6 linked regions of the Xenopus tropicalis genome follow. The protein of the gene in region 1 purifies or fractionates together with the protein of each later gene. This does not show direct contact. Links are inferred from orthologs where the notes say so. Each region holds a gene or a part of one and is shown in the gene's direction. Other genes may lie near its edges. The genes, in order: copb1, copa, copg1, copg2, copz1 and cope.

The links.
Region 2: the proteins of copb1 (region 1) and copa fractionate together in Homo sapiens (co-fractionation; 6 studies listed by BioGRID and IntAct, with this or other methods). This does not show direct contact. The link is inferred for Xenopus tropicalis from reciprocal best matches to the Homo sapiens genes COPB1 and COPA.
Region 3: the proteins of copb1 (region 1) and copg1 fractionate together in Homo sapiens (co-fractionation; 11 studies listed by BioGRID and IntAct, counting the BioPlex papers as one, with this or other methods). This does not show direct contact. The link is inferred for Xenopus tropicalis from reciprocal best matches to the Homo sapiens genes COPB1 and COPG1.
Region 4: the proteins of copb1 (region 1) and copg2 purify together in Homo sapiens (affinity purification with western blotting; 4 studies listed by BioGRID and IntAct, with this or other methods). This does not show direct contact. The link is inferred for Xenopus tropicalis from reciprocal best matches to the Homo sapiens genes COPB1 and COPG2.
Region 5: the proteins of copb1 (region 1) and copz1 fractionate together in Homo sapiens (co-fractionation; 8 studies listed by BioGRID and IntAct, with this or other methods). This does not show direct contact. The link is inferred for Xenopus tropicalis from reciprocal best matches to the Homo sapiens genes COPB1 and COPZ1.
Region 6: the proteins of copb1 (region 1) and cope purify together in Homo sapiens (affinity purification with mass spectrometry; 6 studies listed by BioGRID and IntAct, with this or other methods). This does not show direct contact. The link is inferred for Xenopus tropicalis from reciprocal best matches to the Homo sapiens genes COPB1 and COPE.

Annotation. Positions count from the first base shown.
Region 1 is NC_030680.2:3,433,440-3,437,391, forward strand, and holds the start of copb1 (coatomer subunit beta), read left to right. Parts: upstream 1-1,152; 5' UTR 1,153-1,224; intron 1,225-3,952. UniProt on the Homo sapiens protein: The coatomer is a cytosolic protein complex that binds to dilysine motifs and reversibly associates with Golgi non-clathrin-coated vesicles, which further mediate biosynthetic protein transport from the ER, via the Golgi up to the trans Golgi network.
Region 2 is NC_030684.2:137,310,124-137,313,623, forward strand, and holds part of copa (coatomer subunit alpha), read left to right. Parts: intron 1-208; coding exon 209-344; intron 345-497; coding exon 498-580; intron 581-699; coding exon 700-850; intron 851-1,736; coding exon 1,737-1,803; intron 1,804-1,897; coding exon 1,898-1,973; intron 1,974-2,058; coding exon 2,059-2,141; intron 2,142-2,225; coding exon 2,226-2,365; intron 2,366-3,022; coding exon 3,023-3,108; intron 3,109-3,358; coding exon 3,359-3,497; intron 3,498-3,500. UniProt on the Homo sapiens protein: The coatomer is a cytosolic protein complex that binds to dilysine motifs and reversibly associates with Golgi non-clathrin-coated vesicles, which further mediate biosynthetic protein transport from the ER, via the Golgi up to the trans Golgi network.
Region 3 is NC_030680.2:135,688,518-135,692,770, reverse strand, and holds the start of copg1 (coatomer subunit gamma-1), read left to right. Parts: upstream 1-1,453; 5' UTR 1,454-1,550; coding exon 1,551-1,587; intron 1,588-4,253. UniProt on the Homo sapiens protein: The coatomer is a cytosolic protein complex that binds to dilysine motifs and reversibly associates with Golgi non-clathrin-coated vesicles, which further mediate biosynthetic protein transport from the ER, via the Golgi up to the trans Golgi network.
Region 4 is NC_030679.2:86,709,329-86,712,828, forward strand, and holds part of copg2 (coatomer subunit gamma-2), read left to right. Parts: intron 1-2,825; coding exon 2,826-3,069; intron 3,070-3,500. UniProt on the Homo sapiens protein: The coatomer is a cytosolic protein complex that binds to dilysine motifs and reversibly associates with Golgi non-clathrin-coated vesicles, which further mediate biosynthetic protein transport from the ER, via the Golgi up to the trans Golgi network.
Region 5 is NC_030678.2:145,576,885-145,580,384, reverse strand, and holds part of copz1 (coatomer subunit zeta-1), read left to right. Parts: intron 1-909; coding exon 910-987; intron 988-2,754; coding exon 2,755-2,806; intron 2,807-3,500. UniProt on the Homo sapiens protein: The coatomer is a cytosolic protein complex that binds to dilysine motifs and reversibly associates with Golgi non-clathrin-coated vesicles, which further mediate biosynthetic protein transport from the ER, via the Golgi up to the trans Golgi network.
Region 6 is NC_030677.2:112,615,111-112,619,180, reverse strand, and holds the start of cope (coatomer subunit epsilon), read left to right. Parts: upstream 1-1,270; 5' UTR 1,271-1,312; coding exon 1,313-1,411; intron 1,412-1,643; coding exon 1,644-1,706; intron 1,707-2,489; coding exon 2,490-2,590; intron 2,591-4,070. Other genes in the region: probable ATP-dependent RNA helicase DDX49, read right to left, coding at 1-46, 997-1,111. UniProt on the Homo sapiens protein: The coatomer is a cytosolic protein complex that binds to dilysine motifs and reversibly associates with Golgi non-clathrin-coated vesicles, which further mediate biosynthetic protein transport from the ER, via the Golgi up to the trans Golgi network.

The DNA of each region.
Region 1 (3,952 bases):
ACCAGTGCAGGAATGGCTGCCCCCGGGGCTACACAGCGGGGTATTTATATAAACTATAGTAGGGTTTCTGTAGCAAACACCCCAGCTGTACCAGTGCAGGAATGGCTGCCCCCGGGGCTACACAGCGGGGTATTTATATAAACTATAGTAGGGTTTCTGTAGCAAACACCCCAGCTGTACCAGTGCAGGAATGGCTGCCCCGGGGCTACACAGCGGGGTATTTATATAAACTATAGTAGGGTTTCTGTAGCAAACACCCCAGCTGTACCAGTGCAGGAATGGCTGCCCCCGGGGCTACACAGCGGGGTATTTATATAAACTATAGTAGGGTTTCTGTAGCAAACACCCCAGCTGTACCAGTGCAGGAACGGCTGCCCCCGGGGCTACACAGCGGGGTATTTATATAAACTATAGTAGGGTTTCTGTAGCAAACACCCCAGCTGTACTGGTGCAGGAATGGCTGCCCCCGGGGCTACACAGCGGGGTATTTATATAAACTATAGTAGGGTTTCTGTAGCAAACACCCCAGCTGTACTGGTGCAGGAATGCCAATGTCCCTGAATATAATATCAGCTTTCCTTGTCCCTAGTGAGAGTCTAACCTAGAAGGCTGCTGCATGCTGAACTGGATTCTGTGCAGCCCTGTATCAGACCATACATAGCGCTATATGAAATCAAGGGAATCCTGAGCCAATCAGTGATTAACAGATTGACTGCAAGTTCCGGGTTTCTTTCTATATCCTGCTTCTATTTTGCCGGTAAAGTTTGCGTTCCACTAGAACAAGATACTTCCTGGATCATGCGTTTCAGCAGCAGGTTACGCCCCCTCCCATAAATTGAGTTTCCGGTTATCGTTGCGTTTCACTAGAGCAAGGTACTTCCTGGATCATGCGTTTCAGCAGCAGGTTACGCCCCCTATAAATTTCGTTTCCGGGTTGCTGGGCCGCTCACTTCCGCGGTTTCTCAGGAGTCTGTCAGTGACGTAGCCTTTCCGGGATTTGCGAGTGTTCTGGCCCTCCCCGGCTTCCGTACGATTGAGTTGGACTGCGCTCCGCTAGGCGCTTCCACGTCACCCAGAGAGCGCTCAGTGTCCCTGGTACGGAGTGAGCCCGGAGCCGCAGGTAAGGCAGCGGGAACTACCCCCGCCAGGGGCAACTGCTTGACTTACCTCCTACCATAGAATCGACCCATTGGCCCTGCGCTAAGCTGCTGTTATTGCCCTGAGGTAGGTAGGTGCCCGGTACGTGCATGGCATGTCCTACCTGTGGGGAACCTACCCCCCCGGGGTATCTATGGGCGAACTGCGGGAGTTTATGCGACAGAAGTGGTGGTTTTAATGCCCTGGGGCAAAGGTGGGTAAAATACCAGGGTATTTGGGGTATTAGGAGTTAATGCCCTGGGGCAAAGGTGGGTAAAATGCCAGGGTATTTGGGGTATTAGGAGTTAATTCCCTGTAGCACAGGTGGGTAAAATACCAGGGTATTTGGGGTATTAGGAGTTAATGCCCTGTAGCACAGGTGGGTAAAATACCAGGGTATTTGGGGTATTAGGAGTTAATGCCCTGTAGCACAGGTGGGTAAAATACCAGGGTATTTGGGGTATTAGGAGTTAATGCCCTGTAGCACAGGTGGGTAAAATACCAGGGTATTTGGGGTATTAGGAGTTAATGCCCTGGGGCAAAGGTGGGTAAAATACCAGGGTATTTGGGGTATTAGGAGTTAATGCCCTGTAGCACAGGTGGGTAAAATACCAGGGTATTTGGGGTATTAGGAGTTAATGCCCTGTAGCACAGGTGGGTAAAATACCAGGGTATTTGGGGTATTAGGAGTTAATGCCCTGTAGCACAGGTGGGTAAAATACCAGGGTATTTGGGGTATTAGGAGTTAATGCCCTGTAGCACAGGTGGGTAAAATACCAGGGTATTTGGGGTATTAGGAGTTAATGCCCTGGGGCAAAGGTGGGTAAAATACCAGGGTATTTGGGGTATTAGGAGTTAATGCCCTGTAGCACAGGTGGGTAAAATACCAGGGTATTTGGGGTATTAGGAGTTAATGCCCTGTAGCACAGGTGGGTAAAATACCAGGGTATTTGGGGTATTTGGACTTAATGCCCTGTAGCACAGGTGGGTAAAATGCCAGGGTATTTGGGGTATTTGGACTTAATGCCCTGGGGCAAAGGTGGGTAAAATCTCATTCTGGGGTATTTGGAGTTAATGGCCCGTGGAAAAGGTGGCAAATATTTAGTGGTGTATTTAGTGCTAATGCCATGTAGCAAAGGTGGATACATTCCCCTTACTGGGGTATTTGGTGTTAATACAGAGATGGGCAGAGATCTCTTGTTGGCAGCGACCCTTCTATAGTACCCTCTGATAAATACAGTGCCAATTCCATGTATAATACCCCAGAACCCACAGCAGGATAAATACAGTGCCAATTCCATGTATAATACCCCAGAACCCACAGCAGGATAAATACAGTGCCAATTCCATGTATAATACCCCAGAACCCACAGCAGGATAAATACAGTGCCAATTCCATGTATAATACCCCAGAACCCACAGCGGGATAAATACAGTGCCAATTCCATGTATAATACCCCAGAACCCACAGCAGGATAAATACAGCGCCAATTCCATGTATAATACCCCAGAACCCACAGCAGGATAAATACAGTGCCAATTCCATGTATAATACCCCAGAACCCACAGCAGGATAAATACAGTGCCAATTCCATGTATAATACCCCAGAACCCACAGCAGGATAAATACAGTGCCAATTCCATGTATAATACCCCAGAACCCACAGCGGGATAAATACAGTGCCAATTCCATGTATAATACCCCAGAACCCACAGCAGATAAATACAGTGCCAATTCCATGTATAATACCCCAGAACCCACAGCGGGATAAATACAGTGCCAATTCCATGTATAATACCCCAGAACCCACAGCAGATAAATACAGTGCCAATTCCATGTATAATACCCCAGAACCCACAGCAGATAAATACAGTGCCAATTCCATGTATAATACCCCAGAACCCACAGCAGATAAATACAGTGCCAATTCCATGTATAATACCCCAGAACCCACAGCAGATAAATACAGTGCCAATTCCATGTATAATACCCCAGAACCCACAGCAGATAAATACAGTGCCAATTCCATGTATAATACCCCAGAACCCACAGCAGGATAAATACAGTGCCAATTCCATGTATAATACCCCAGAACCCACAGCAGGATAAATACAGTGCCAATTCCATGTATAATACCCCAGAACCCACAGCGGGATAAATACAGTGCCAATTCCATGTATAATACCCCAGAACCCACAGCAGGATAAATACAGTGCCAATTCCATGTATAATACCCCAGAACCCACAGCAGATAAATACAGTGCCAATTCCATGTATAATACCCCAGAACCCACAGCGGGATAAATACAGTGCCAATTCCATGTATAATACCCCAGAACCCACAGCGGGATAAATACAGTGCCAATTCCATGTATAATACCCCAGAACCCACAGCAGATAAATACAGTGCCAATTCCATGTATAATACCCCAGAACCCACAGCAGATAAATACAGTGCCAATTCCATGTATAATACCCCAGAACCCACAGCAGATAAATACAGTGCCAATTCCATGTATAATACCCCAGAACCCACAGCAGATAAATACAGTGCCAATTCCATGTATAATACCCCAGAACCCACAGCAGGATAAATACAGTGCCAATTCCATGTATAATACCCCAGAACCCACAGCAGGATAAATACAGTGCCAATTCCATGTATAATACCCCAGAACCCACAGCGGGATAAATACAGTGCCAATTCCATGTATAATACCCCAGAACCCACAGCAGGATAAATACAGTGCCAATTCCATGTATAATACCCCAGAACCCACAGCAGATAAATACAGTGCCAATTCCATGTATAAT
Region 2 (3,500 bases), on another chromosome or scaffold:
CAGGGCCAAGGCTTCTAGACAGTAGTTTTCAACATAGTGTCCATCTTTCCTGGATCCATATATTCAACAGAAGTCATACACTTGACTCCCCTCACTCCTATATTTTTGTACTCTGTGATTGCTCTATTTAAATCCTGTTTGGCAGCAGAGTGTCCATATCAGGCTACATATGTGCTATAACTGACTGGCGATTCTCTCTCCCGCGCAGAGTCCAAAGCCTGGGAAGTGGACACGTGCCGCGGTCATTACAACAACGTCTCGTGCGCCGTCTTTCATCCCCGCCAAGAGCTGATTCTCAGTAACTCCGAAGACAAAAGCATTAGAGTGTGGGATATGTCCAAAAGGTGAGACACTTTGGTCAGGTTTGTTTGTTGGGTTTTTGCTGCCGATGTTAGAGTGCATTGGCTATAGACACCGGGATCCAGGGGCTATAGCTCCATTCTTGGCTTAGGATATAGTCAGAACTGACCGTGTTCAAATTTCTCTCTCATCTACAGGACTGGAGTCCAGACTTTCCGCAGAGACCACGACCGTTTCTGGGTACTGGCCGCCCACCCAAATCTTAACCTGTTTGCTGCAGGTAATACCCCAGTTGTGCAGTAGCATAATCTGCAGAAAGTGATGTCCAGATGGCACGGAAAATGCCAAAGCAGATTCCTTTACTAATGGAACCCTCTCTTGTATGTTATCCTTGCACAGGGCATGACGGTGGCATGATTGTATTCAAGCTGGAACGAGAGCGTCCCGCCTATGCCGTGCACGGCAATATCTTGTATTATGTGAAGGACAGATTCCTGCGCCAGTTGGACTTTAACAGCTCCAAGGATGTGGCTGTTATGCAGCTAAGGAGGTGAGACTGTGATTAAGGAGATACTAACATTCTGCTGATATAGACAATCTCAAGATTAGACTGGGTCACTGTATATGATGCACTGGGTTAGGAAATTCAGTTTAGGAAGGAGAATGTGGGAGATACAGATAGTCATCTGAGCTTTTCCTTCTGCAAACAAACCACCCAGTGCAGTGCCAATTGCTACTTAGATACACAGAAAGGGGTTGTGGGAGCACTCCAAGGCTAAATAGAGTATACAAATACAATGGAAGTGCAACTGATCTGGCCAAATTAACTACAAGTATACAAAAAGAGAGGGGGATTGATCAATGCACATTCCCTGGTCCCCTGTTTCATAAGTAAATTGTCTATGCTAGTGCGTGTATTTACAAAAACAGGGGTTTTTAGTTACAAAATTATGACCATAAGATTGGTAAGCCCCCATACCCCGTCAAGGTAAACCCCGTATGGTGGTCCTATCTATTTACCTCTGGTCATATTTTTCAAAGGCTGGTTTGAGTCAGAGGGCTTAGTCACTCCCATACCTTTTGCTTTTAAAGAGAGAGATTGGCAGGACCACAGCTTGGTTCTACAGGCTTAATCCTCCCCCGCCTGCGGCTTGTAAAGGAGAAGACTGCCTATTAACCAACACCCATTTTATGAAAGGCATAAGCCCACCATAAAAGGGACGGGTGTGGGGCTGCTAACCCACATGGAAGTTTGGCCATTCTTCCTGCAGAATAACTCTGCTAAAATACATACAGTAAATACACAGAAAGGGGTTGTGGGAGCACTCCAAGGCTAAATAGAGTATACAAATACAATGGAAGTGCAACTGATCTGGCCAAATTAACTACAAGCATACAAAATTGCTACTTATCCTATGTGTCTCTTATATTTACAGCGGCTCCAAGTTCCCTGTGTTCAATATGTCGTACAACCCAGCTGAAAATTCCGTCCTGCTTTGCACGGTAAGAATAGGCATGACAACCATCCAGATCAGTCCAGGGAGACATGTACTATGGGTTCCTTTATTTTTCTTACACTTCAAATCTCTTGTAACAGAGAGCCAGCAACCTGGAGAACAGCACTTATGACCTGTACACCATCCCCAAGGATACCGACTCCCAGAATCCCGATGGTAAGCTATAAATAAAGATTAGAGGCCATTGGAGGCCCTTACAGTCCTGTTTTGATGCATCTGCTGATAATGTTCCTCTGCTCAGCCCCTGAAGGGAAGCGATCCTCTGGTCTGACTGCAGTGTGGGTGGCACGGAATAGATTTGCCGTCCTGGATCGCATGCATTCTGTAAGTAGAATAAAACATTCTGCTTTTAGCTTACAACTTGCTTCCATTTCTGCCACTTATTTTGCCTTTCTCCCCTTCTTGTAGATTCTCATCAAGAACCTGAAGAATGAGATCACCAAGAAGGTCCAGGTGCCCAACTGTGATGAGATCTTCTATGCCGGCACTGGGAACCTGCTGCTCCGGGATTCCGACTCCATCACTCTATTTGATGTGCAGCAGAAGCGGTAAGTTGCACCGCCAGGTTTTCTTAGGGGTATACAAGTCATGCAGTTTTGCCAGTGCTGTTATATGGAGACCATTATGTGTAAAAATGTATTCAAAATAGTTAGGCAAACATGTAATCTATAAAGACTGGGAGTGAGCAGATGTCTAACTTAATAGCCAGAACACTGCTTCCTTCTTTGCAGCTCTCTAATCTGTAAAAAGCCAGTAACCAATCAATGACTAGAGGGGGTCCATATGGGACATAACTGTTTGCTTTTGGTCCTTAGCACGCAGATCAGATTCAAAAGCATACTAAGTGAGCCTTATGTCCCATGTGGCCCCCCTCAAGTCACTGACTAACTAAGAGGTTAGAGAGCTTAAAGCAGGAAGTAGTGTTCTGGCTATTATGTTAGACATCTGTCCACTTCAGACTTTATAGATTACAATTTTGCCTAACTATAATAGAAACATTTTTGATTTAGCACAGTTTTATTTTTACTCTGAACTGTTCCTTTGAGTGGGGTTTTCATAGAAGACACGTTTAGATTGAGACTTAATTGTCTAAATAGGGAAGAGTTTGCCAGACAGCAAATTGGTGGGCTTAGTTGGTGGCAAAACAAAGGGTGCATCACACAGGCACAGATACCAAGCAATCTGTGTATATCTATCCATTGCAGCACCCTGGCATCTGTGAAGATCTCCAAAGTGAAGTATGTCATTTGGTCCTCCGACATGTCCCACGTGGCTCTTCTTGCCAAGCATGGTAAGCTTTATAAAAGGCTGGGCTAGTTGCTGCTGCGCTTTTTTTTTTTTCTGGGGGGGGGGGGGGGGGGGGGGGCATTTATGCTCTGCAGGAGAGTGTCTCTATTTAACACCAAGGGAAGCATTATTCTTTGCCCCTAAAGGATCAGGCTTATAGGACTGTTGGAGAGAGCAGAGAGGCAGAGAGGAGCTTATGGGAGATGCAAACTCTTGATATTTGAATTCATCCTCTGTTTTTTTTTCTTCCTCAGCCATTATGATCTGCAATAGAAAGCTGGAGTCCCTCTGCAACATCCATGAAAATATCCGTGTCAAGAGCGGTGCCTGGGACGAGAGCGGGGTTTTCATCTACACGACCAGCAACCATATCAAATACGCACTCACCACTGGGTA
Region 3 (4,253 bases), about 130 Mb from region 1:
TCCAGAGCAGAAAGCCCCATGAGCACCACAAACTCATTGAATGGGGGGAGGAAGGTCCAGTAGGGCCTGGGTTTTCCTATGGCCCAAAAGACTTGTTTTGATACCTGACAACCTCTAGCATTTTGAAAACATTCCATCCATTTGGACAAAGATCTCTCCAATTCTACCCTGAATCATTAACCTTGCAAAAAAAAAAAACTTTAAGGGCTGTAACAGACGGCAAGATTAGTCACTGCACAACAAATCTCCCTTGTCATGGGCGACTAATCTCCCCGAAAAACCATCCCACCGGCTAGAATGTAAATCGCCAGTGGAATGGCATATGTGGTGCCACAATTTCCCAAAATCGCCGAAGTTGTCTTGAGAGGAAACTTCTGCGATTTCGGGGAATCGCGGCGCCGCGTATGCCATCCCACTGGCGATTTACATTCTAGCCGGTGGGATGGCATTTCAGGGAGATTAGTTGCCCACGACAAGGGAGATTTGTCACAGGCGACTAAACTCCCCATCTGTCACAGCCTTAAAGAAGAACTAATAGCATTTTTTAATTCTACCCCTGGAGGACGTCTCCCTCCACCCTACCCAATACTGTGGGGTTGGAGGACACCTTCTTGCAGTGGCACAAAGTGACAGCCAGGGCCCCACCCTACCTGCGGTGCTAATTTTGGAACAGGTAAGGCAAATAGGGCAGTATTGAGGGGGCACAGTGTGCATTAAGGATTGCCACCTTTGACCTCAGCAAAAAAACAGACAAAATGTTGGGATGATGACATCAGAGGCAGAGCGGTGACATAAGAGGGTGCAGATGTGATATTTGGAAGTGTATTTGTACATTTTGGGGGCAGGCCTTGACATCAGAGGTGGTTAGTGGCCAGATTATTGTTTTGGTTTCACAAGGCTGAATCCCAGACAGTTAAGATCCAAATAGCCCTAAGTAAAGCTGAACTGTGCAGGTCAACAATAAACAAGTGGCAACTCTATGTGCATGTCAAAAGAGGAGAGATCCATTCCATAGGTACTACTTATAAAAATGCTTTTATTTGCCTTTATTTAAACGTCAAAATGAATAATACAATTACACAAGAATCCTGCCTCCCTGTACGAATATTGTGATTTATATTTACCTGTAAAGCATTAAAAATCTGAATACATATTAGAAAGTTGCTTAGAACTGTATTTCCTTTCAACAGGCCAAGTTTTATTTTTGGGCTTACATCGTTTTAGAAAGTTACTTGGACTTCCAAGCAACTTTCTAAGGCGATGTAAACTCAAAAATAAAAACCTATTTTGCCTGGCTCATACTTTTCCTCGAACTTCCGGTGTACATTTGTCCCTTATTGCGTGCGCTATTCACAAGCAGTTCCGGTTTCAATTCAGTCGCTTCCGCTAACAGTGCGCATGCGTTGAACAAGCATTTACCGTTCTAGGCATGCTCTGTCCGCGCCAATCGCACTGCTTGTTAGTGCGCATGCGTAGGTTACGTTGTCAGGAGTGACGTGTCCCGGTGACAGCCTGGCAGGAAGTGGCCTGGTTCTGACTGAGGGGCAGAGATGCTGAAGAAGTTCGATAAAAAGGATGAGGAGTCGGGTGAGTGATATGGGGGGTTTGCACTATTGTGTCGCGTTTTATTTATTGCCCTTATATGTCTGTTTAAATGGCGAACGCTGTCACTGGCCCACACCGGCAGCAGGGAGTGCATGGTACTCAGGCCCCTGGCTCTGTGTGGGGATACACTGGCAGCCATGCAAAAGGCAGAACCCAAGAGGGACGGGTTGTGCAGTTCAGTGGAATCCAAGCCCGTGTCTGTGACCTAGGAAGGCATCAGGTGTGTGCTACACTGGTAGAACAGCTGGACGGGGCCCTAGCGTTACTCTAATAACTCTCACAATACCTATACATCGGGTCTACACCAGGAATCCCATAAAGCCTGCTGGGATTGGTCGTTTTAATAAGAAAGGCCATATTGGATATGTCTGTTCTAGGGCATTCCTTCATGTTGTAGGAGTTACTATATATTTAATTCAGAGTATTGGGGAGCCTGTACCCAGTGTGCTAGTAACAATGTAAATTAAAGCTGGAATACTGGCCGTGCCCTTGTGTTTTAGAGCCACCACCTTATTCTGTTCTTGGCAGTCCATTACACTGCTGCCCATAAGGTGCATCTGTTTGCAAATGCAGCCCCATGCTAGTTAATGGGTATGCTTTGAATCATATTAACCCCCCGATACCAATAGGTTATAGATATAAAACTGTATGTGGGAAAAATGCCTTGTGAAAATTTGCATGCCGAATGCACACGTGCAAAATGGGCGCAGGGTGTAAACATAAAATGGCATGGCCTAATCCATTTAGAGAGAAGCAGGTATGGTTCAGCTCTGTATTATATGTTGTATTTGCCAGGGCTGAGTAATTAAGCACCTTCTTTAAAGGTGCCCATACACAGGCCGACTATAGCTGCCGATATCGGTCCCTTGGACCGATTCGGCAGCTAATCGGCCCGTGTATGGGCAGAACAGAGCTGCCTGGCCGACCAATATCTGGCCTGAAATTGGCCAGATCTCGATTGGCCAGGTTAGAAAATCCGGTCGGATCGGGGACCGCATCGGCTCGTTGATGCGGTCCCCGAACCGACTGCCCCATAAGCTCAAATGTAATCCGATTGTTGAACAATCGGATTATTTTTTTTTCAAGTCCCTTGCTACCCGATATCGCCCACCCGTAGGTGGGGATATCGGGTGAAGATCCGCTCGCTTGGTGACATCGCCAAGCGAGCGGATCTTATAGTGTATGGGCACCTTAAGGCTGAAGTTATTTTAGTGATATTCCGTCCATATGTTTGTACATCAATGTAAGAGCTCTGTGTTTGTTGCCATCAGCAACTGCACCGCAGTTTTGTATGTGCTGTTTATCATTTGTACTATTTTATTATAAATTTAAGAATGTTGCAGTTTTCCTTAAGGCTTTTTATCTCCCATCAGCATCTAGATATATTATTATTTAACCAATAAACAAAAGTCTCTTCCATTGTACATCAAAGAAGCCAGCAGGGCTGTGGAGTTGAAGTCGGAGGCAATTTTGAGTACCTGGAGTCCGCGGCAATTTTGAGTACCTGGAGTCGGCAAAAAATGAACCAACTCTGACTCCTACTAAATTTAAATGGGAATAAAAAAAAAAAAAGCAAGTTTAAATGTCCCAATTCACAAACAGTCATAATTAATTACTTCTCTGCTATAAGAATAAAGCCCAATGCAGAGCCAGTAGTTCTGTGGTTAAATGACATGTATGTCTCCTTCCTTTCATTCAATGAATGTATAAAATACATTAGCATATTAAAAACAGTCGGAGTCGGAAGTATCAGAAACTGAGGAGTCGGAGTCGGAGAATTTATCTACCGACTCCACAGCCCTGGAAGCCAGTACTTGTATGATCTAGGTCCTATAATGACGCCTGTGGATACCTTACTGAAACTACCCTGATATTGTCATCAGTAATTAATGGGCCGCATACTGCCAAGTAGGCCTCTGGGTGGTGAGCCATGACAGCAAATAGAATGGGGCTTATTGCCGCTTATCTGCATCAGCCACACCCCTTTATGCCAAAACCTCACCGATAGTATGAACAAACCTTGCCCACTCCATGTTAGACTCACATCTTCATGTTGGGTACCCTTCTACCATAGGGCCCCTGATAGGATTACCTCTCATGGTGGCCCTGAGTAGACTTAGTATAATTTACTTTTCAATTGGTCTTCATTATCTATGTGTTTGTATGTTTTTTGTTTTTTTTTTCTCTTTCCAGCCTACAACTAAAAAAATGTGGTGTGGTAGTCACTTAACTTTGACACTGTAACCAGATACACTGTGCAGTTTTATTGCTCTTTTTTCTTTTTATAGTGTCTAGTATTTATTTCAAGTTTGATTTTAAAACATAACTTAATTTTGTGTGCAGGTCAGACTGGGGAAGTACAGGCCTCCTCTGCTTCAGAAGTGTTCCTCTCTTAAAACCAGAGGCGCACTCAGAAGTAGTGTACGGAGTGGAAAGACACTGGTACAGGTTGGGTGCGGGTCCTACAATGGCAGTATTTTATGACTTGGGGTCAGGGTGGAGCTTTTCCTGACCTGCTCATTATTAATGCATGCTGTGGGCTAGGATTAAAACCAACCTACTAATCAACCCAAGTGTAGAAAGCCTGAAATCACTACATGATTTGCAATACATTATTTGCATTTATTTAAATAATGTGCCTATGTTAT
Region 4 (3,500 bases), on another chromosome or scaffold:
TTAAAGTCGTAATGCTTATAGTACCCAAAGTATCCTCTGTTGGTGTTACCCTGATATGCCAAATAGATTGATATTATGTGTGTTATAATGATGCAGAATTGTAAATATGGATTATGTACATATGATTTTATATTTGTATATTTTCAAAATACTTTCATTTCATTGTTAATTACTGATATTAAAATTCTCTGTACTAAGGGTGGCATATATTGTATAAAATCCCCTATGTGACCAATCCAGTACCAATTTAACTTCATATAGATGGCCTAATAGACAGATAAATGCACAGATCAGAGCATATGTCAGTTGGCTAGGTCACTGGAGGCCTGGCAAACTGATGAATTGATAACTTATTGAATGCTATAGTTTGGCTGGGTTGAAAATTCTGGTCAGAAATCATATTTCAAGTAAACAAAAAGGATCTGATGGTATATGCAGTGTGTGATCAATTCAGACAGTTTGGACCTCTGACTAGTTTATAGACTAAAAATGGGTTTCTCTGCTGTGACCTTTTCTGCAATTTAACAGTACTTTTCTGACTCAAGAAAAGATTTCTGGATTTATACATTAATCAAAGTATATTGATGTGCCAATTTGTGTCTCGTATGAGCAGTCAAACACAGGAATTTTCAATGGGTGTTTGTACACAGCACTGGTCCATGTTGGAATAATTGTCTAAATTGTTGCTCTCCATCTGCGATTTGCACAAGGGTTTTATGATCTAGGCAATTGTTTCAAAGAGGAAAATAATTTATTAAATCTAAGGGGCTTTATTAACTACTATTAACTTTTTACAAGTGGTACCTACGAGCACTGCTTGTAAACTAGTTAACAATAGTTAACAAAACCCTTTGGTGTTCTTAGAAGTAGAATAGCCCACAATATATTATAAACATACTGTATATACACTGCTCAAAAAAATAAAGGGAACACTTAAACAACAAAATGTAACTCCAAGTCAGTCACACTTTTGTGAAATCAAACTGTCCACTTAGGTAGCAACACTGATTGACAATTAATTTCACATGCTGTTGTGCAAATGTAATAGACAACAGGTGGAAATTATAGGCAATTAGCAAGACATCCCCAATAAAGGAGTGGTTCTGCAGGTGGTGACCACAGACCACTTCTCAGTTCTTATGCTTTCTGGCTGATGTTTCAATGACTTTTGAATGCTGGTGGTGCTTTCACTCTAGTGGTAGCATGAGACAGAGTCTACAACCCACACTAATGGCTCAGGTAGTGCAGCTCATCCAGGATGGCACATCAATGCGAGCTGTGGCAAGAAGGCTTGCTGTGTCTGTCGGCATAGTGTCCAGAGCATGGAGGCGCTACCAGGAGACAGGCCAGTACATCAGGAGACGTGGAGGAGGCTATAGGAAGGCAACAACCCAGCAGCAGGACCGCTACCTCCACCTTTGTGCAAGGAGGAACAGGAGGAGCACTGCCAGAGCCCTGCAAAATGACCTCCAGAGGGCCACAAATGTGCATGTGTCTGCTCAAACGGTCAGAAACAGACTCCTTGAGGGTGGTATGAGGGCCCGACGTTCACAGGTAGGGGTTGTGCTTACAACCCAACACTGTGCAAGACGTTTGGCATTTGCCAGAGAACACCAAGATTGGCAAATTCGCCACTGGCGCCCTGTGCTCTTCACAGATGAAAGCAGGTTCACACTGAGCACATGTGACAGACGTGACAGAGTCTGGAGACACCGTGGAGAACATTTTGCTGCCTGCAACATCCTCCAGCATGACTGGTTTGGCAGTGGGTCAGTAATGGTGTAGGGTGGCATTTCTTTGTGGGGGCAGCATAGCCCTCCATGTGCTCGCCAGAGGTAGCCTGACTGCCATTAGGTAGTGAGGTGAGATCCTCAGACCCTTTGTGAGACCAATATGCTGGTGCGGTTGGCCCTGGGTTCCTCCTGATGCAAGACAGTGCTAGACCTCATGTGGCTGGAGTGTGTCAGCAGTTCCTGCAAGATGAAGGCATTGATGCTATGGACTGGCCCTACTGTTCCCCAGACCTGAATCCAATTGAGCACATCTGGGATATCATGTCTCCCTCCATCCACCAATGCCACGTTGCACCACAGACTGTCCAGGAGTTGGTGGATGCTTTAGACCAGGTCTGGGAGGGGATCCCTCAGGAGACCATCCGCCACCTCATCATGCCCAGGCGTTGTAGGAAGGTCATATAGGCACACGGAGGCCACACACACTACTGAGCCTCATTTTGACTTGTTTTAAGGACATTACATCAAAGTTGGATCAGCCTGTAGCGTTTTTTTCCACTTTAATTTTGAGAGTGACTCCAAATCCAGACCTCCATTGGTTGATAAATTTGATTTCCATTGATAATTTTGTTGTCAGCACATTCAACTAGATAAAGAACGAAGTATTTAATAAGAATATTTCATTCAGATCTAGGATGTCTTATTTTTCTGTTCCCTTTATTTTTTTTGAGCAGTGTATTTCGCTTCATAGTAAATGAGGCCATACACTGTTCAGCCCAGCCTGTTTACAAACATGCGCAACCAAGTATCTGACCAACATCCATAGCACATGGATATTTGTTGGGATTGTTGGGTTCTAATACATGCACGGGCATAAATAGACACATTACTACCTCTTGTCTATCCATAGGTGATTTGGGGTGTTAATTGTTAGTCATAGATTTACTTGGCAATTCTTGCCAGTAGAACTAGTTCTCTTTAAAAAAAAAATTAGTAAATGGCCATAAGATAATTAATTTTCTGTTTAAATAGTGTCTTGTTCCTAGCTCAAAATGCTCAAGTATGCTAAACTACACACACTCTCATATGCAGGGAGGTTTTGAATACAAGCGTGCCATTGTGGACTGCATTATTAGCATCATAGAAGAGAACCCAGACAGCAAAGAATCTGGCCTTGCTCACCTGTGTGAATTTATTGAGGACTGTGAGCACACAGTTCTGGCTACCAAGATTCTGCATCTTTTGGGAAGAGAAGGGCCAAAAACACCCACACCCTCCAAGTACATTCGTTTCATCTTTAACAGGGTGGTATTAGAGAATGAAGCCGTCAGAGCAGGTAAGAATACCACCATTATTTTTTCTTTCTTCCTTTTTTCTTTGCTTAAGTAATAACCTCAATTATTTATTAGTAAACATAACTTAATAGTAGCTATATTACACTTAAACTACGGCTATAGTAAACTTAAACTACTTATTAGGATGTTGCAGAGATATACCTCCAGAACTCCAGTGCAGTAGGGTTTGGGGTAATTTGAATCGTTAACATCTAGATTACTGAAGGCTGCTTTACATTTATTATTTGTAAACCGAGGCACTTATTTTTAATGTTAACCTTTAACTATTGAAGTTCCATTTTCCCAAACTTCTGAGCCACACTCAGATGTAAAAGGTGTTGGTGAGCCACACAAGCTTGAAAAAAGCTCTTTGGGGATTTTAAATAAGGACTGTGGTTATTTGGTAGCCCCATGTGGACTGCTGGTCTGCAAG
Region 5 (3,500 bases), on another chromosome or scaffold:
AGAATCGCTCCGTTGTTGAAATCTCTTGTAATCACTTGTTAGGAAAAGACAAGTGAATTGTCGCTGGAACTTGCTTTTTAAAAGTCACAGCGACTAAAACACAGGGCAATAAAAGCTTGCAAAATCAGCTTGATATCAACTGGGCATGTTAGCAAGTTTGTATTATTATCCAGTGTTTGGCCTGGGTGCCAAATGATAAGAACTGCTCAATTTGGCCAGAAGAAGTGGCAAATTTGGGAGAAGATCCAGTCTGTCAATGTATGACCAGATTTTTCCATGTTTTTGTACTCTGCTTAAACCAATGTGTGAAGACCTACTTGGCCAGTAGAATACTGTGAAATTAACCTTCATGGCTAAGATTGATCATTTATTCATAATTATAAATCCATTATTAAACCTAGAGATTCAAAATGATAAAACTGATCATAAAGTGGTCCCCTATTGCTATTAATGATTAGGAGACCCATAAAAGCCTGGCGAGGCAATTAGGCTACACAACCTTTTTAATATTGTTACAGATCTCTTGCGTTACTATGCATCAACTGACTGATTTTTAATAATTTGAAAGAGCCACTAAAAGCCGCTTGGGGGTCAGTACCTAGGGCCATAGCTGTTTCGTAGTGGTTCATTCTGCTGACCTCTCAGGTTTAGCTAGGAGCTTTAAGTAACATTTCTTTGTTTCTACTGAAATATGATTAGTGCTGGAATTACTGATTGATTTCAGCTAACATCAGTTGGTGTAACTTTTATGTAGGAGCCCATCACACTGGAGCAATCCTCTGGGAAAAGTTGGAAGTAAATTTTCACTGTGTTCTTGCTGATAATGGAAGCCCCCTAATGTTTATCCATGCAAATAACATCTACAGTTTTTTCTTGTGTAAAAATATAGAGTATATTATGTTTTTACAGCAAAAATGTCGAAAAGCGAACCCTGCTTGAGAATATGGAAGGACTTTTCCTGGCAGTTGATGAGATTATAGATGGAGGGTAAGATGATTTACTTACCCATTGCACATTTACAGCTTCCTGAGGGCTTTTCTTTACCAGATTATACATATAGGCAGTTGCAAACTAGCATGCCCAGGGCCCACCGTAAGTGCCATATCAAGAGCCCAATCCCTCCTCACTGGTTCCCTTTACCGGTAGAGGCAATCCCTGGCCAGCTGACATATCCAGGGAGTTGGGGCCCATCTATTTTTCTCCTGGTGCCCTGGTAGGCCAGTCCCACCCAGAATATAGGTTTCATCTTATAAATGGTCCAATTTATCCTTGCAACCAGGCAGGCGGTTTCAATGAGTGATACAGAATTGAATAGAATTGGGCCTGAACGATACATGATAAATAGTAATAATAACCATAGCTTCACAGAGCAATAGTTTCTTGGCTGGCTAGTCTCGTAACACACAACAAACAGTCAAGAGGGACATATATGAAAAACAAGAATGTGCCAGTGCATTGTACTGCTCAAAATATGTGCTTTAAAAAGATGTGTTGGACTGATATTTTTAAAAAAAAATTTTTGCGAAAAGCCTGCTATTCACGCCCATCTGTTCCACTTCCTGCTGCCTCCTTTCCCAGGCTGTGCAGGGGAGTTGGCTACTCTCAGCACACTGCACGGTAGGATAGGAACCAATCAGCAGCTAGGCTGACCTGATAGGGAACTGAAGCCTGTCTTTGGTTGTGTGCCTGCAGGGCTGTTATTGGCTATCCCCCTTTTACTGTGCTTCTGGCAGGGACGGTTAGAACATGCCCACCCCTCATTTGAAACAAGGAGGGACCTGAGAGGAACTATAGGGAGCTCCAATAAAGTGATCTTTTTAAGGTAATTTTCAGCCCAGAGTAAAGCCAGCACAATATATTATTCATTATTGCCTACAAGATTGCAAGCCTTTTTAGTTACACTATATGTCTCCTTTTAAAAAAGAGGCAGAAGAGAAGGTAAACCAGTTGAAAAGTTGCTAAGAACATGACATTCTGCAACATACTAATAGTTAACTTTGTGAGCAATGACATACAGGGAGATTTGTTGCCCGCAGTAAAAATGTGCTACAGTGGGACAAATCACCGAAAAATGCCATCCCCCTTTGCTAACATGAGAAACACCGCAAGTAAATTACATTACTCGCAGGGATTTGGCTTAATGTTTAGGAAATAGATATGGCAAGTTAAAACATCCTATGCCAGAGCATGGCAATCTTTTGGCCCCTCATTGCATTAATTTCTGTTTTCTTTCAATACATATAGAGAAACCACTGGGTATATATATTGTATATGCTCAGCTTATTGGCCTATGTTTAAATGCTGCTTTGTATCTTAGTGGGAGCCAAGTGGTTAATATTTTAGCATGCACCTCATAGTACTTCAGATTCACAAATGAAGACCATAAAATCATTCCATTATTGTAAACAGAAATGTTAATCTGGAACTTGTACATTCTCCGTCTGTGCCTGTTTTTGTTTGACTTGTGATTGTGCAGCAGTTACTATCATAGCGACTCTATGAATGGAACGCTTTCTAACGGTGCCATTACTGCGTAAGTGCCACTCTTTTTCTGTGTAATGACATCATTATCAGTGATTCCATTCTGGGGGTGCTGCAGTCTGAACAGCAGGGCCGTGGCTATTAAGAGGTAAAGGAATTGTCTTTAGCTTAACTGTCTGTGTACTTCAACGTAATGGTGTGCTGCTCACAAATGGTTAATATAAGGGTGTGTGCAGTTTTGTTCAACTATTTCCCTTGTTTCTTGCAATGCAGAGTCATACTAGAGAGTGACCCTCAGCAAGTGGTTCACCGTGTGGCACTAAGGGTAAGTAGAAATGTGTGGCACTTCTGGGGATAAAAACAGTGCTTACGTGCTCGAGGCTCCATATAGGTTTGGACTGGGATACAAAATAGGCCCTGGCATTTCAAGTCCACTAAATAGTGACTGTCTATGCCATCTTACAGCAGCCCCTCTGGCATTTGCCACAATCCACAGATTGCCAGTCTGGGCCTGGCTTCATAAGCCATGAGAACATTAGGGTTGTTTGTAGATTGGGGGGTGGGTCATTGTGACTAAAAGAAAGTTACTGTTGTATCAACTTATTATAGTCTCTTCCAAACACAATATTTACACTGTAAGCTCTTCTATGCAGAGATTGTTGCTGTAACTGTTCTGTGTCTGTGCTGTATAGACTGTCTGGTATACTGTAATACATTTTTAATATAATTAGCATAATTATGAATGTGCTCTTATAGCTTGTGATATCTTTCCTCTTACATACATACATACATACATACATACATACATACATTATTCTGAAATTCTGCTGGAGCTATAGAAAAACATGTTCTAATCATTTTATATAGTTTTACAATGCAGGGTGTAGCAGAGCATCTAACCAGGTCATGCTCTTTTAGAGCCTAATGCCAAAAAGTACAAGTTGTACTAGAGCAGCCCTTTCTTAGTGCACTGGGTGAATTGTTTTCTGGGCAGCAGTGAAGTGGTTAAGACCCTTGCC
Region 6 (4,070 bases), on another chromosome or scaffold:
GCTGTTTTTCCACTGCCAGTCTTTGCACATCCCATGCAGTCTCGGCCTAACAGGACATCAACTTCATGAGTTCTCAACAAAATACAATACATTTTCTGTGCAGATGTTAATGGATAGTTGACCTTTTACCAGGTGGCTTTTTTCCTCTGATACATAATCAGATACATTTAAATCTGCAAACAGCATACACACGCAGACCCTTATTCAGCATACATTTCATCAATAATACAGGCTCACAGAGGCAGAACTGTCTGATAAACGTTCTGCTTTGTTTGAGCTGAGCTCAGGAGAGAAAGTTAGGAGAAAAAATTGAAGCAGACAGCTAGAGCTGAGTTTCTATGGGAACCAGCAATGCCATCTCTTCACTGGCTGCTAGACTGGAGGGCGTATTTTGTAATCTGAGTTTAGTACAACTGAGCATGTCTGGCAAGGCAGGAATCAAAGCAAATTCCCAAGGGGGGGGGGGCGAGTGGGTTACAGGAGGAGAAGGAAATCTAAGTGATTAAGGGGATGTTGCAGCCTTACTATTAACCTCTGGACAAGCAGAGTGGCAGGTATTGAAAGATTTCAAAGAGGCTGTTCACTGATTAAATTTTTGTGTGTGGGGTTTACATGTCCTTTAGATGAATGCAATTATTATGAATCGAACTTAGGTACAAGCAAAACTGTGCACAATATATTTATAAATAGGAATGTAACTATGGAGGAAACTGACGCTTCAAGAGACTGCCGGGGGGCCAGAAGGTAAAAGGGGACCAGTGGGACAGTGACAAAAAAGAAGATTAATACATTTAAATTAAATCTTACTCCTAAATGTTAGGGTTCCCGCAAATTTAGCGCTGCTTTCCTTTAACATATAGTTATGCCATTTACCTTTTGATCACTGGTTTTTCAGATGATTTGTAACACTTATGTAGATGACTTGCTCACCCTGGACAACTCAGATAATCTGCCCCCTTAATCGCGAAGAATCATATTCGCATTCACTAATCTCACCTTCCAGGATGGGCGGGATGCAATTCTCCTGTACAGGACTAGGTTTCAATATGCCCAGTTGGCTACATTGATCGATAAGCCAGGAAGACAACCCAAGCCTCGAAAACCCTTCCATCTTGACACGCGTGATAGCCACTAGCAGCACATTCCGGCGCACAAACTAATGCGTCACACAACTCGCCCTTCTATTGGTCCTTACGGGAACTGACCTTTGGTACTACATCTCCCGCCATGCCTTTAGCTGAGAGGCGGAAGTCGGTAAAGGAAGGCGGAAGTTGTGGAAGCTGGCCGGCTGACGTGTCCGGGATATACAGAAATGGCTGCACAGGGAGAGGTGGACGAGTTATTTGATGTGAAGAATTCTTTCTATATTGGAAGTTACCAGCAGTGCATTAATGAGGCGCAAAGAGTAAAGGTGATTTAACGATTACAGCAAACTGGGTCAGAGAGGCGTGGAGTTATGGCTGAAGGGATATGGATAGTGGACATAGCAGCAATCTTTTTAAATTGGGCATACGTATTGAACAAATATAACGACAGCATGCATGACTGAATCAGGCACAATAACATCTATTATTTTTCTCATGCTAACAATCTGAGGTAAGATGGATAATCAAATAGTAACGTGGGAATATTTTATTTTACAGCCTTCAAGTCCAGAGAAGGAGGTGGAGAGAGACGTTTTCCTGTTCAGAGCATATATAGCCCAGGTGAGAGAGACTCTGTATTATAATCATACATTATTCTCACCCAGCTGTCATTAGTATTGTGAATGTAGCCTTTTTTCCTCCTGCACGTATACCTATAAGTAAAAGAAGCTTTTTATTTCCTCCTGCACTTATACCTATAAGTAAAAGAAGCTTTTTATTTCCTCCTGCACTTATACCTATAAGTAAAAGAAGCTTTTTATTTCCTCCTGCACTTATACCTATAAGTAAAAAAAGCTTTTTATTTCCTCCTGCACTTATACCTATAAGTAAAAAAAGCTTTCTGTTTCCTCCTGCACTTATACCTATAAGTAAAAGAAGCTTTTTATTTCCTCCTGCACTTATACCTATAAGTAAAAGAAGCTTTTTATTTCCTCCTGCACTTATACCTATAAGTAAAAGAAGCTTTTTATTTCCTCCTGCACTTATACCTATAAGTAAAAAAAGCTTTCTGTTTCCTCCTGCACTTATACCTATAAGTAAAAAAGGCTTTTTATTTCCTCCTGCACGTATACCTATAAGTAAAAGAAGCTTTTTATTTCCTCCTGCACTTATACCTATAAGTAAAAAAGGCTTTTTATTTCCTCCTGCACGTATACCTATAAGTAAAAGAAGCTTTTTATTTCCTCCTGCACTTATACCTATAAGTAAAATAAGCTTTTTATTTCCTCCTGCACTTATACCTATAAGTAAAATAAGCTTTTTATTTCCTCCTGCACTTATAACTAAGTAAAAGAAGCTTCTTATTTCTTCCTGGTCTTATGACCTTTTATTTTCCACATGCAGCGCAAGTATGGGGTTGTTCTTGATGAAATTCGGCCAAATACCAACCCTGAATTACAGGCTGTCCGAATGTTTGCAGAGTATCTGTCCAATGAGAGTCGCAGGTATGTGCATTCTACATCTCCAGGGGGCAGATTTATCAAAATTTGAGATTAGAGCTCACTACAGAAAAATTCACTTTTTATTCATTCCTATGGGATTTTTAGAAGCATATTTATCAATGGGCTAAAGTTAGAACTCACCTTTTGATAAATATGCTTCTAAAAATCCCATAGGAATGAAAAGAACATGGGTGAATTTTTATGTATAAATCTTTGAACTCCCATTTTGATAAATCTGGCCCTATGCCTCTCCGTTATATTGTCCCACTCTGTGGCTCTCACCAGAACAACTGGCATATGGCTACTACCAGAAACTCGCTTGACCCTATACAACTAAAACGGTTACCAGATGTGATCATTTGGGTTTCAAGAAATGAGGTCTAGAACCATTGCACTCCCTATAAATATATTAACTTTAGGGGGCACATTTACTAAGACATTTTAAGAAACAGTTGATTTTTGTTTTTTTTTTTTTTACTTCTGTTGAGATTTACGAATGGGTTTTTGCCAGTGCTCGATTTTTCTGATATTGTTTCTCGAAAAATTCTAGTTTTTCAGAAATTTTCCCTGATAAATTTGAGTTTGTCGAAAATAACTCCCATTTTATAAATACAACAATGATCAAGTTTAATTCGAGTTTAATTAGAATTTAAACCATGTCGAGTTTATACTACTTTCAAGTCCAGAAAAAAAAAAAATTTTATTAAATCATTCCCTAAAACTTTTAGGGGAGATCCAACCACAAATAGTAAACAGGTTGGCTTTTCAGAGTCTTCAGATTGGGGAGGGCATATACCAAACTTGTAGAGGGCAAGAACAAAAATCTATATCATAGGCCAGGCTCATATAAACTTAATTTACTAATTAGAAGAAACATTACATCAGCTTAGCTTGATGCATCAGGATAAGTTATGTGACTTTTCTTCTTAATGATTATTTTTTTGAGTGGAGGACACTTTTTTCAGTATGTGCCTTCTGCAAGTGTTGATACATCTGCTTTTAACTTTCATACACTACCGTAGGCTCCCCTAATGGGTTGTGCTGTATAACTGACTATTAGATTTATCAGTGTAGTAAGTAAATGAGAAATCTGGGTATTATATCTGACCAAGCTTAAAGGACAAGGAAAGGCAAAGTCACTTGGGGGTGCCAAAATGTTAGGCACCCCCAAGTGACTTAAATCGCCTACCTTTTACCCCGGGCTGGTGCCCCTGTTCGGGGAGAACAGCACCAGCCCGGGGTAGCTGCAGCGCTTCCTGCTTCGCGTGTTTGTGCATGAGCAGTCGAGTGAAAAAGCTGAACTTTAACAGAGAAGTTGAATTTTTAATCTACTGCGCATGCGCCGGTCGTGGGGTCCCGGCAAAAGGAAGGAGGAACCGCTCGCTACAGGTACCCCGGGCTGGTGCTGTTTTCTCCTAACAGGGGCACCAGCCCGGGGTACAAGGTAAGCAATTAAAGTCACTTGGGGGTGCCTAACATTTTG